Linked DNA regions of Coturnix japonica. The protein of the gene in region 1 interacts with the protein of each later gene in a pairwise test. Links are inferred from orthologs where the notes say so. Each region holds a gene or a part of one and is shown on either strand. Other genes may lie near its edges.

Evidence for each region.
Region 2: the proteins of ARL3 (region 1) and ARL2BP interact in binary tests that used the Homo sapiens proteins (3 or more experiments, as listed by UniProt). The link is inferred for Coturnix japonica from reciprocal best matches to the Homo sapiens genes ARL3 and ARL2BP.

What each region holds. Positions count from the first base shown.
Region 1 is NC_029521.1:20,421,853-20,426,663, forward strand, and holds the start of ARL3 (ADP-ribosylation factor-like protein 3), read right to left. Parts: upstream 3,005-4,811; 5' UTR 2,888-3,004; coding exon 2,885-2,887; intron 1-2,884. Other genes in the region: SFXN2 (sideroflexin-2), read left to right, coding at 3,438-3,598, 3,847-4,017, 4,388-4,486, 4,625-4,700, 4,774-4,811. UniProt on the Homo sapiens protein: Small GTP-binding protein which cycles between an inactive GDP-bound and an active GTP-bound form, and the rate of cycling is regulated by guanine nucleotide exchange factors (GEF) and GTPase-activating proteins (GAP).
Region 2 is NC_029526.1:1,740,254-1,745,106, reverse strand, and holds the start of ARL2BP (ADP-ribosylation factor-like protein 2-binding protein), read left to right. Parts: upstream 1-1,590; 5' UTR 1,591-1,813; coding exon 1,814-1,851; intron 1,852-3,666; coding exon 3,667-3,728; intron 3,729-4,402; coding exon 4,403-4,509; intron 4,510-4,689; coding exon 4,690-4,775; intron 4,776-4,853. UniProt on the Homo sapiens protein: Together with ARL2, plays a role in the nuclear translocation, retention and transcriptional activity of STAT3. May play a role as an effector of ARL2.

The DNA.
Region 1 (4,811 bases):
CCTTTCATAATTAAAATCAAACTCCTCTGCTCTTTGCAGACTTCAAGGAAGCGCTCTGCCCTGTGCAGGGCATTGCTGATGCCTGCCGCTTTGTCTCCCCTTCAGCAGTGCAGTACTTGGAAACCTCCTCCAGTTGTTGGTATGCTGCACTCCCTGCACATCGTTTCCCATAAAGCTATCGCACAACCAGTAAATAAATGAAAGATGTGTGACGTGCAGCTCTGCTAGGAAACTGGAGCAGCAGAGCACTGCTATAGCTTTGGAAAATGGTTTGTTTTAATGGGGTCGGTTGGGTACAGCCTCCATGTCAGACAAGGGGCAAAAGGAAAATTCTGAGCAGTACAGGCAGCAACACTTGCTGCTTTTGTTACAACTGGGAGCTCGAGGCCAGGAGGAAGATGTCTGACTACACGTTTTGCTATGTCGGTCCTTCATTCTCTGACCAAGATCTGCCTGGTGTCATCCAACCGCTCCGTGACTCAGTTTCCTTGGCTGCACAGTGGGGCCATGCATTGACAGGCCTGGATTGATGCAGCAGTGTCATCTTCAGTCAACAGCTTTAGAAGAACTCAGGTCGTCCCCCAGCCCTGCTACCCATCAGCAACAACCATCTCACTTGGTGTAGACAAGCAGGACGCAAGCTCTGCTTCACACAGCACTTCCACAACTCTTGAAGGCTGCTCACCCTTTCATGTAACATCTCCCTTCACTCTTGCTGTGAGCCCAGCACACGTGCTGCTCAACCGAGCCAAAGCCTTCAGCGCCACGCATCTCTCATGCTATGCATTTTTATGGCTCATCTTTCCCTCTGTGCTCCACCTACGACCTTCCAGCACCCCTGCCTCACAGCTGTGAGAAATGCTGGTATGCTCTGCAGAACAAGACACTTCCCCTCTGCGCTTACTCGGATGAGCAGTGAAATAATTTAAACGTCAGCATTAACCATCTTACCACTGGAATGGGAGCAAGCAGAACTGCTGCCCAGCCCAGCCAGTCCTTTACCCACACCATTTGAGAGGCTACAACTCCAAGAACTCTCAGAAATGAAAAATAGACTAGGAAGCATTAAAATGCTGTAGCAAATAGCACAAGCACTGGAAAACACCCAGTCCACCCTCCCCGTGCACAAAGCGCTCACATAACAACAGCCAGATCCCAGACTACACCAGTTTATCAGGACATCACAAAGCAGAAGAGCAGATTTGGCTGGTAGCAGCTGCAGGCCAAATGTGTCCCACAAAGCTGCTGGAGGCAGCTGCCTTCATCTCCACAGCAGATGTCCATCCTGTGATGGCTTTGGTGCCTGGTGTGACAAGCTCCATCATCGCCTGATCTAAAATACAGCAGGTCTCACAGTCTTTATCTCAATCTCTTTCTCTGTGGCACGGCAGGTGGGGATGCAGCCAGCATCAACTCAGCAAAGATGAGGAGCTGCCTTTGCTGTTCTCACTTATGCCTCCTCCTGTGCTTTAATACAGCTTGAATCCAGGGGGCTCCTGGACAAAACACAACTTTGCCCTACAGAAGCTCTTTCCCACATGACCATTTCCTTCAGCCTGGGCTCTCTGCACATGCTGTACCCCAGCTGCAGCTCCCCAGCCACCCCTCTGCTGATCCCCACTCATCCTTTCCTGACAGTCCTTGACGGATTCCACCAGCATCTCCCATCCCACCCCAACTACTGCAGCATCCAGCACCCAAGTCTATCACTCAGCCCCACCCTAACCTGATACAGGCAACATTTCACCCTCACCACACATCTGTCTCCCAGCGATGCCCTCTGTCCTTACCAGACCCTTCACAGTGAGGCTCCAATTCCTCTCAGTGAACACTGCTCCCCGTCAAATACTTTGTTTCCACACTTGAGCATTCCTTTCCCTTCTGGTTCGTCTCTTTCTCTCACTAGCACCAAAGTTCCTCTACTCCTTCCCACAATGAGTTCTTCTCTCTTCAGCCTGTGCTGTCCCCATTTCCTCAGCCCATGGCAGAAAACCCAAGAGCACTCAAATCCCAGCAACCCATCCTAGCCAGCCAACAGTGACTGGCACGGTACAGTGATCCCCCAAACTGGTCATCCCACCCTGGTCTCTCCCAGTCCCTGGGCAGTGTCTCAGCCCAAACACCCAGCTCCTTCACCCAGGCTTCTTTGCCAAGACTGAGCTCCCCTTTTAAGGCTATTTATCAACAGCCCTTCCAACTCTGCATGCCCTCCTGGAGCTCCCTCAACTTCTGCAGCCCCCAGGAACCAGCACAGGACGGATGGGTTGGAACGGATCTTAAAGCTCACCCAGGGCCCCATCCAAGCTGGCCTTGAATTCCTCCAGGGATGGGGAAACCTTCTCTGGGAAGGCCACACTGAAGCCATACTGAACAGCCGAGTTCTCCAGGCCGAACACGCGCAGCCCCTCAGCCTGTCTCCATAGGAGAAGTGCTCCATCCCTCTGAGCATCCTCGTGCTCCACTCCAACATCCCATGTCTTGTGCTGTGGCCATCACCACCACCATCACCACCACCACCACCACCCCCCCTTCCCCCTGGTTGCCCTGTCCATGGTCCTTCCCCGGTCACAGCTCCCCCAGCACTCGGTGCTCGGTCGCTGCCCCCATCACTGCCGTGTCCCTTCAGCCCATCCTCCCTTCCATCTCCCCTCGGGCCAACGGTGCCTCTGCGGCTCCGCTTCCCCCCGACCCCACGCATCCCCCCACGCCCCGACCGTCGGGCCGGACGCCCCAAGGGCCGAGCGATCTCCTCCGACCCGACCCACGCGGCCCGTCCCTGCCCACCCAGTCTCCCCCGTCTCCCCCATGTCCCCGATCTCCCCCCGTTCCCCCCCATGTCCCCGGTTTCCCTCCAGGCCCGGCCCGCCGCCCCCGCCCCGCTCACCATCCTCTACGCGGCAGCGGGGTTACCATGGGCAACTGCGTCACACACACGCCGCCGCTACGTCGCACGTCACCGCTTCCCGCCGGACGTACGGAGCGCGCGCGCGGGGCCCGCGGGAGGGGGCGGGGCCAATCGTAGCCACGCCCCCATCCTGAGAGCACGCGGCAGGTGGGCGCGGCCTCTCGGCTCGCTCTGATTGGCTGAGGGCGGCCACGCGGCGCGCCAAAAGTTTGGGTGCCGCGCAGGTAGGGACACGTGGGGTGGGGGCGCGGGTTGAGTGGGGACTGCGCGATGCGATGCATTGCAATGAACGTCACCGGGTGGCTGTGCAGCTCCACGGGTGTGCAGTCAGCAGCCTTGAAGGGGGGGGGAATGCGGCTTAGCACCGTTGGAAGCGTGCATGCCGTGGGGTGTGTGCGGTTATCAGTGTGCAGTGCAGGAGGCCGGCGGCAGCAGCGCCTCGGGTCGCTGAAAGTCCAAGCCAGCTGTTAAATATAAACCCGCAGCAGTTGACTCGGTGCAGCGCTCCGCAGCAGCACGGCGCTATCCCAAAATGGCTGCTGTGCCCCTCGGCTTCGACATCGATGCCCCGCGCTGGGATCAGAGCACCTTCATGGGGCGGCTGCGGCACTTCTTCAACATCACCGACCCGCGCACTGTGCTGGTGCCGGAGGGGGAGCTGGACCGGGCGCAGGCCGTGGTGGCAGGATGCAGGTGAGCACACAGCTGTGGTGCTGGGGCTGTGCCTGGCACCTGCCCGAGCGCTGGTGCAGCATCTGAGCACCCTGATGGAGCTGTAGATGTATCTGTTTGTAGCAGGAGAGTTGGGCTAGATGACTTTTAAGGGGCTCTTCCAACTCAAAAGATTCTATGATCCGTCAGAGGTGTTTTTGTGGGTGTTTATTGGGGTTTTGGGAGCCCTGAGCTATCGTGGCTGAGCTGCTGTGACTTCGGCCTTTCAGGGCCGGGATGGTGCCACCGGGGAGCAGCCAGGAGCAGCTGCTTTATGCCAAGAAACTGTACGACTCGGCTTTCCACCCTGACAGTGGTGAGAAGATGAACCTCATTGGCAGGATGTCCTTCCAGGTGCCGGGTGGCATGGCCCTCACTGGCTGCATGCTGCAGTTCTACCGGTGAGAGCTGGGGACACAAGTTGGGACACAGCCTGGATGGCCCTCAGCTCCTCTAGGGGCTCTAATGCTATGGGCTCAGGAGTGGGTTGCTCTCACACACCTCTGTCCCCATGAGCTTGCTGCATGCATCACTGAGGGCCAGGTGGATCTCATTCTCATCCCAAACCCCTCAGGGCTATGCCTCCTCCTGTGCTGTCTGCAAGACCCTCTCATACACATTCATTTCCCAGCCCTGCCCCTGCTTCACTCCTTGACTTCAGGCTGCCGTGCCTCAGTTTCCCCCAGCAGACACCAGGACAAGGGTACAGAGGGCATCTTATCTGTTCCCTGATGGCACCTGGGTGCTCTGCGGGCCCTTTTCCCTCTGCAGGACAGTGCCAGCTGTGGTGTTCTGGCAGTGGGTGAACCAATCTTTCAACGCCATTGTCAACTATACCAACCGCAATGCTGCGTCCCCCATCTCTCTGGCGTAAGTGTGCCCCTGTGATGGGACACCTGGTGCCTGTGGGATGCACCAAAAAGACATTCAGGCACCAAAGGAAGAGGATCTCAGTGTCAAAGGCAGTGTTTTATTTTATATTTCCATGCATCTGTTGCAAATCACCAGGCAAATAGGAGTGGCTTACGTCACAGCCACCTCAACAGCCCTGGCCACTGCTGTGGGACTCAACCTCTACACCAAGGTACGTAGGGATGGGGTTGCAACAGCTCCTGGCCGCATCCCACCCCATGCTGATCCCATCCTTTGTCCTGCAGCGTGCTCCTCCCTTGCTTGCCCGCTGGGTCCCTTTTGC
Region 2 (4,853 bases), on another chromosome or scaffold:
CCACACTTTGTATTATTGGTAGGGATCACACAGGGGGGAAATGTCTGCTCCACTTGAGTTACATGTTTGTGATGTTTCTATGTTGAGGATGTGTTTCGGCAGCAGCTTTTGACCCACTTAGTTTGGTTTCTACAAGGAATCAGGGTTCAGTTGGTGAAGTAGCACAAAAGTCAATGGAGTTCTGCTTATTTTGCACCCAGGCTGTAGAACTCTCTCTTCCAAGAATCGTACAGGTTGCTTTTATTAAATGATTGGGCTATATAGTAGAACTCTATTAATTGGTACCTTATTTACACCATCACCATCCCACTTCTTGGCAGCGGTTCAGTAGAGGAGACTGTCGTAGCAAATCTCATGCTGTGAGCTGTTTTATTCTCCAAGTCTTTTACCATCTTTGTTAGGAGAGCTGAGATGTATTCCTCACGCTGAGTACTTTTGCTTCCTGCTGACCAAGGAGCGGAGAGCACTGCACACAGGTCCCAGAATCGAGCTGTCTGGCTGTTCCTCTCACATTCTGCCTTCCATAACTCAAAGGTGCTGAGTCTAATCCAGAGGAGGAGATGGGGGGGTACAGGGGAAATGTCCCTCTGAGCCTCACGTAAAAGCGGTTCCCTAGGAAAGTTCTGTGCATCGTTTTCTCGTTGAGCTTTTTTCCCCAACTACAGACTGTATCAGGAGTGGAGCGAGGGTTGTTCTTGCTGAAATGTGAATTCTCTTCCAGCTGTTGTGATGAAGGTCAGGATGGCAAATAGGTGCCTGGGGCACCTCGTATCCTCACGGACTGTACTGTGCAAAGTTCAGGTATTCTCTACTTTGCCATTCTGCTTTTCAGAATCTTTAGAGATGAAATTCCAGATGCTTCCAAATGCAGCAATAGGCACAAAGATACAAAGCAAAGCGTGCTGTAGAGGAAGGAGTGGGACAGAACCGCTTCGCACTCTGCCTTAATAGATGCAGCTTTGGGTTCCTTGGCCAGGATTAACTGAGATATAACTCCCATGTGCCTGGGGATCCTGCTCAGTACCAAGTGCTGTATGAGAGAGGCCCACAGAGCTGTATGGGTGTCCAACTGAAACACAGGGCTCCAAATAGCCCAGGTGTCTTTGTGGACATGGCTCTGGGTGCCTGCGTGCTGTCTGGACAGGGAGACCCGAGTGCTTTGCTGTGCAGAGGGGCCGGCTGTGTTGCAGAGCACTGTGCTGTTATTTCACGTATGGAAAAGGCTGTAGATGGGGCTGGGTTTCTGCTGGCATCCGCCATAGGGGGCTGTCCTGCTGTGGGGCTCTGAGGGGTGGGAAACCCAAGAAGGGGGAGAAATGGAGCGTGGCACAGTCGTCTGTTCGGAAATAAAACGTCTTGAAGAGTGTTTGTCGGGTTTTATTGTGCTGCTGCTCGTGTTGGGAGCTGGGTTCGTGGCCTCAGCTCTGAGGGAAGCGCTTATAGAAGACGGGCCCCCCCAATCCCAACTGCTTGGCGGCCTACTATGGCGGCGCGCCCCTTCTCCCATTGGCTCTTCGTAGAGTGTGGGCGGGACTTCTGTGGCCGCTTCTGCTCTGCGATTGGCTGCGGGCGGGCCGGAAGGAAGCGTTTCCAAGGTAACAGCCTGGCCGGGAGGTGGCCTAGGGGGGAACTGGGGGGACAAGGCCTGTGTGTGCGCCGGGTGGGCCCTGCCGTCCTTATAGCTTAATTAGCTTTAATTAGCTTAATTAGCGTTATATTAACGCCTCACCGTGTGAATCCTCAGCGCTTCGGCTCAACACAAGGAGGATTGCAGCCAGCTGCGGTACGGCACGTTGTCTGTGATGCTGGAGGGATGGAGAGTTCAGAGGAGGAGAACTTCGGTGTAGCTGTGTGAGTACGAGCCGTTCTGTGTCGGGTCCTGCTTAAAGTATCTCCATAGGGATTTAATACGAGAGTTAACGTGTGCTGTGCTGCCCGCTGGGTGGGTGAGGGCAGTGCAGAGCCATGGGATGGAGGGGCATCCATTGAGTCCCAACTCCATGCACTGAGCAGCACCTGGTGGCCCTTGTAGCGATGGATTTAAACTACAAGAGTGGGGGTTTGGAGGGCTGCACAGCGGGAGGGCACTGAGCTCCTGTGGGTGCCCATGATTTGCTGCAGGTGCTCAGGGTCAGGCTTCATAGAGCCTTGTGCAGCCTGAGCCATAGGAGATGTACACACCTACAGTAGGGCTTGGGACTGGGTGGGCTTTAAGGTCCCTCCCAGCCCAACTGTTCTGTTTTTCTATGGCATAACCAAACTTTACACGTGTGGGTGTTAAGGTTCACCCTGTACTTCCTGGCCTGCTCTTCCCCTTCAGCCACAAGCTTTAGGTGATGTGTGGCTGTGCTTTACACTCCTTCAGATTCTTTTATTACACCTCAAGGACATGCAGGCCCTTGGGCTGCTACAGCAGCACAGGTTGTGCCGACCTTGTTGTGCTTAAACCACGGGGTTTGTGAGCGTGTGTTTGCTGAGATGTGCAGGTATGGGTGCACACAGAGAGGTGCAATCTGCTGGTGTGGAGCAGCTACAGTTGGGTGACGTGCTCCACAAGCTGAAACTGGCTTCAATTAATAGAACAAGCTATGAATTATAAGCTGGAAAAGGCTCTAAAAATGGTGGTAGTGTTCACTGGGAGAGAGAGAAATAAGAAAAGCAAATGATCCTTAGCATGTTCTCCTTGCATAGCAATGTGAAATGAGAAGCTCCGTTGCTTCAAGTCAGAAAGTCGATGCTCAAGGAGTGCAGAGCTGCTGCTGTCCTGGGTGAGCTCCTCTTCTGGACAAGCTGTGCCCTCTGCTGGAAGTGCACGCATTCAGCTTTGGGCTTCCCTTACTTCATCTTCTAAGCTTTAACAGGTCCCAGATGTTGCTGGAACACGGGCTGGTGCTCAAATGTCTTTGTTTTTTCTGGTCAGGGTGAGCCCTATGGCTGAACAGTTAAACTGCTCTTGGCTTCATTCTGGTGGACTGCTGTGTGATAGCAGCACAGTCTGAAAGAGTTCTGCTCTCTTAGAGCTGTTGTGTCTGAACAAGAAAATTAGCAGAGTCCTGAAATGCTGCTGCCCGAAGTTCCTTCCCTGGGTGTGTTCAGATCAATAACGATGCTTAACCTCTGCTTATTACAGAAGGAGCTTATGAGGCTTTGCCCTTTGTGTGTAGCATGCAGCAGGAAAAGCATTTAAGTTTCTATAGAGAAATAATGCATATATTAAGCAACTCCACAAGACCAAGTGCTGCAAAATAGCATCTAGTGTTCTGTGGTCACCATGTTGAGTGATGCAAGAAAAAGAACAGAAGGAAATATTGTGGTAGAAGCCTGGATTTGTGGCTCAGGAAATGTTTAATTTGGTGTTACAATGATATTCTTCCTGTTCTTTTTGCATCCGGACTGGAATCACTTAACAGTGATGCCAGTAAAACAACTTTTTAATTAGGAAAACATTATAGATGCCTAATGAAAATCCCACACAGCAGTCTCTGATCTGTCCAATCGACATTAGACATTGGTCTAATGGAGTATTTTCTAGGTTAACAGTAGCAAATTGTTCTTGCTTAAGTTTACTGGGCTTGTTTGTACTTGACCATTCCTTAACATCTCTAAGGTTTATTTTTCCTGTAGTTGAAATGTGCATTTATGCAGTGCCACCTTTTGTGCTTTCAGCTCCTCCCCATCTGATGCAGAGTTTGATGCTGTCATTGGATACCTGGAGGATATCATCATGGGTAAGCTCAGCAAGCAGGCAACAAGATGGGTGCTAAAAATGCTGCATGCACACAGCCAGTCTACCCTATACCTGCTGTCTTTCCTTTCTCCTCGTCATCCCTGCATTAAAATAATGTACAGGAAAGTATTTTCTATGCTGTTTGCACAACAACAGTCTGCAACGTGGCAGAACTTTTTGGTGGTAAGAATGTTCAGTAGAGCCAATCTATGTGAGCAGAGGCAATCGTGAGCTCTCAGCTTAACCAAGAGGTGTGCAGCCTGCTTGTTGTGTTGAGTTTGGTGGTAACTTGCCTTATTCATCTCCACAACTGGGGAAAAAAAAGCCTTCAGTAGCTGACAGTCTGACAGTCTGGCTGATACTGTTGAGTTTGAGAAGCTGTAGGAAGAGAATCGACTTCAAATTCCATCCTGAGGGCAGAGCTGCTGCCAAAACACAGCGATGTGCTGCTGCCCGGGTGATGCGCTCCCTCAGCTGGAGCTGCTCCCTCTGTCCTCTCACAGATGGGCCAGGATGTGGCCCAGCAGCAGCAGCTGTGCTCGTGGTGTGACTGCCTGCACGTGTGCCAGGCTGGTGGCTGCCACAGGGAAGCAGAGGAGCGGTGACAGTGGGGTTTCTGTTGTGAAAAGAATGACTCAACTCCTAACTAGATGATGCCTTTTTGTTGTGGTCCAGATGATGACTTCCAGTCCATACAGAGGACTTTTATGGAGAAGCACTACCAGGAGTTTGATGATTCAGAAGAAAACAAGCTCATCTACACTTCTATTTTTAATGAATATGTAAGATACTTCTTATCCTTCATATGGATCACTCTTTGATTTTACTAAGGCCAATGTCAGGCCTTGCATTCTCCCTTCTGTAACTTGCTGGGTTCGTGAGGAGGGGGGAAGAAGGGGGGAATTCCTTTTCTTTTGTTGGTTTTGATTGATTTGATTGACCTTTGTGTGTTTTCTTTTAAGATCTCCTTAATTGAGAAATACATTGAGGAAAAACTGCTCGATCGGATTCCTGGTTTTGATATGACTGCTTTCACAATGTCTTTGCAGTAAGTCTTCTGCTTTGCTGTTGCTGGGGGGGAGGGAGGGTTGTATGTGTCTCAGTTCTATCTAGATTTGAATGTATC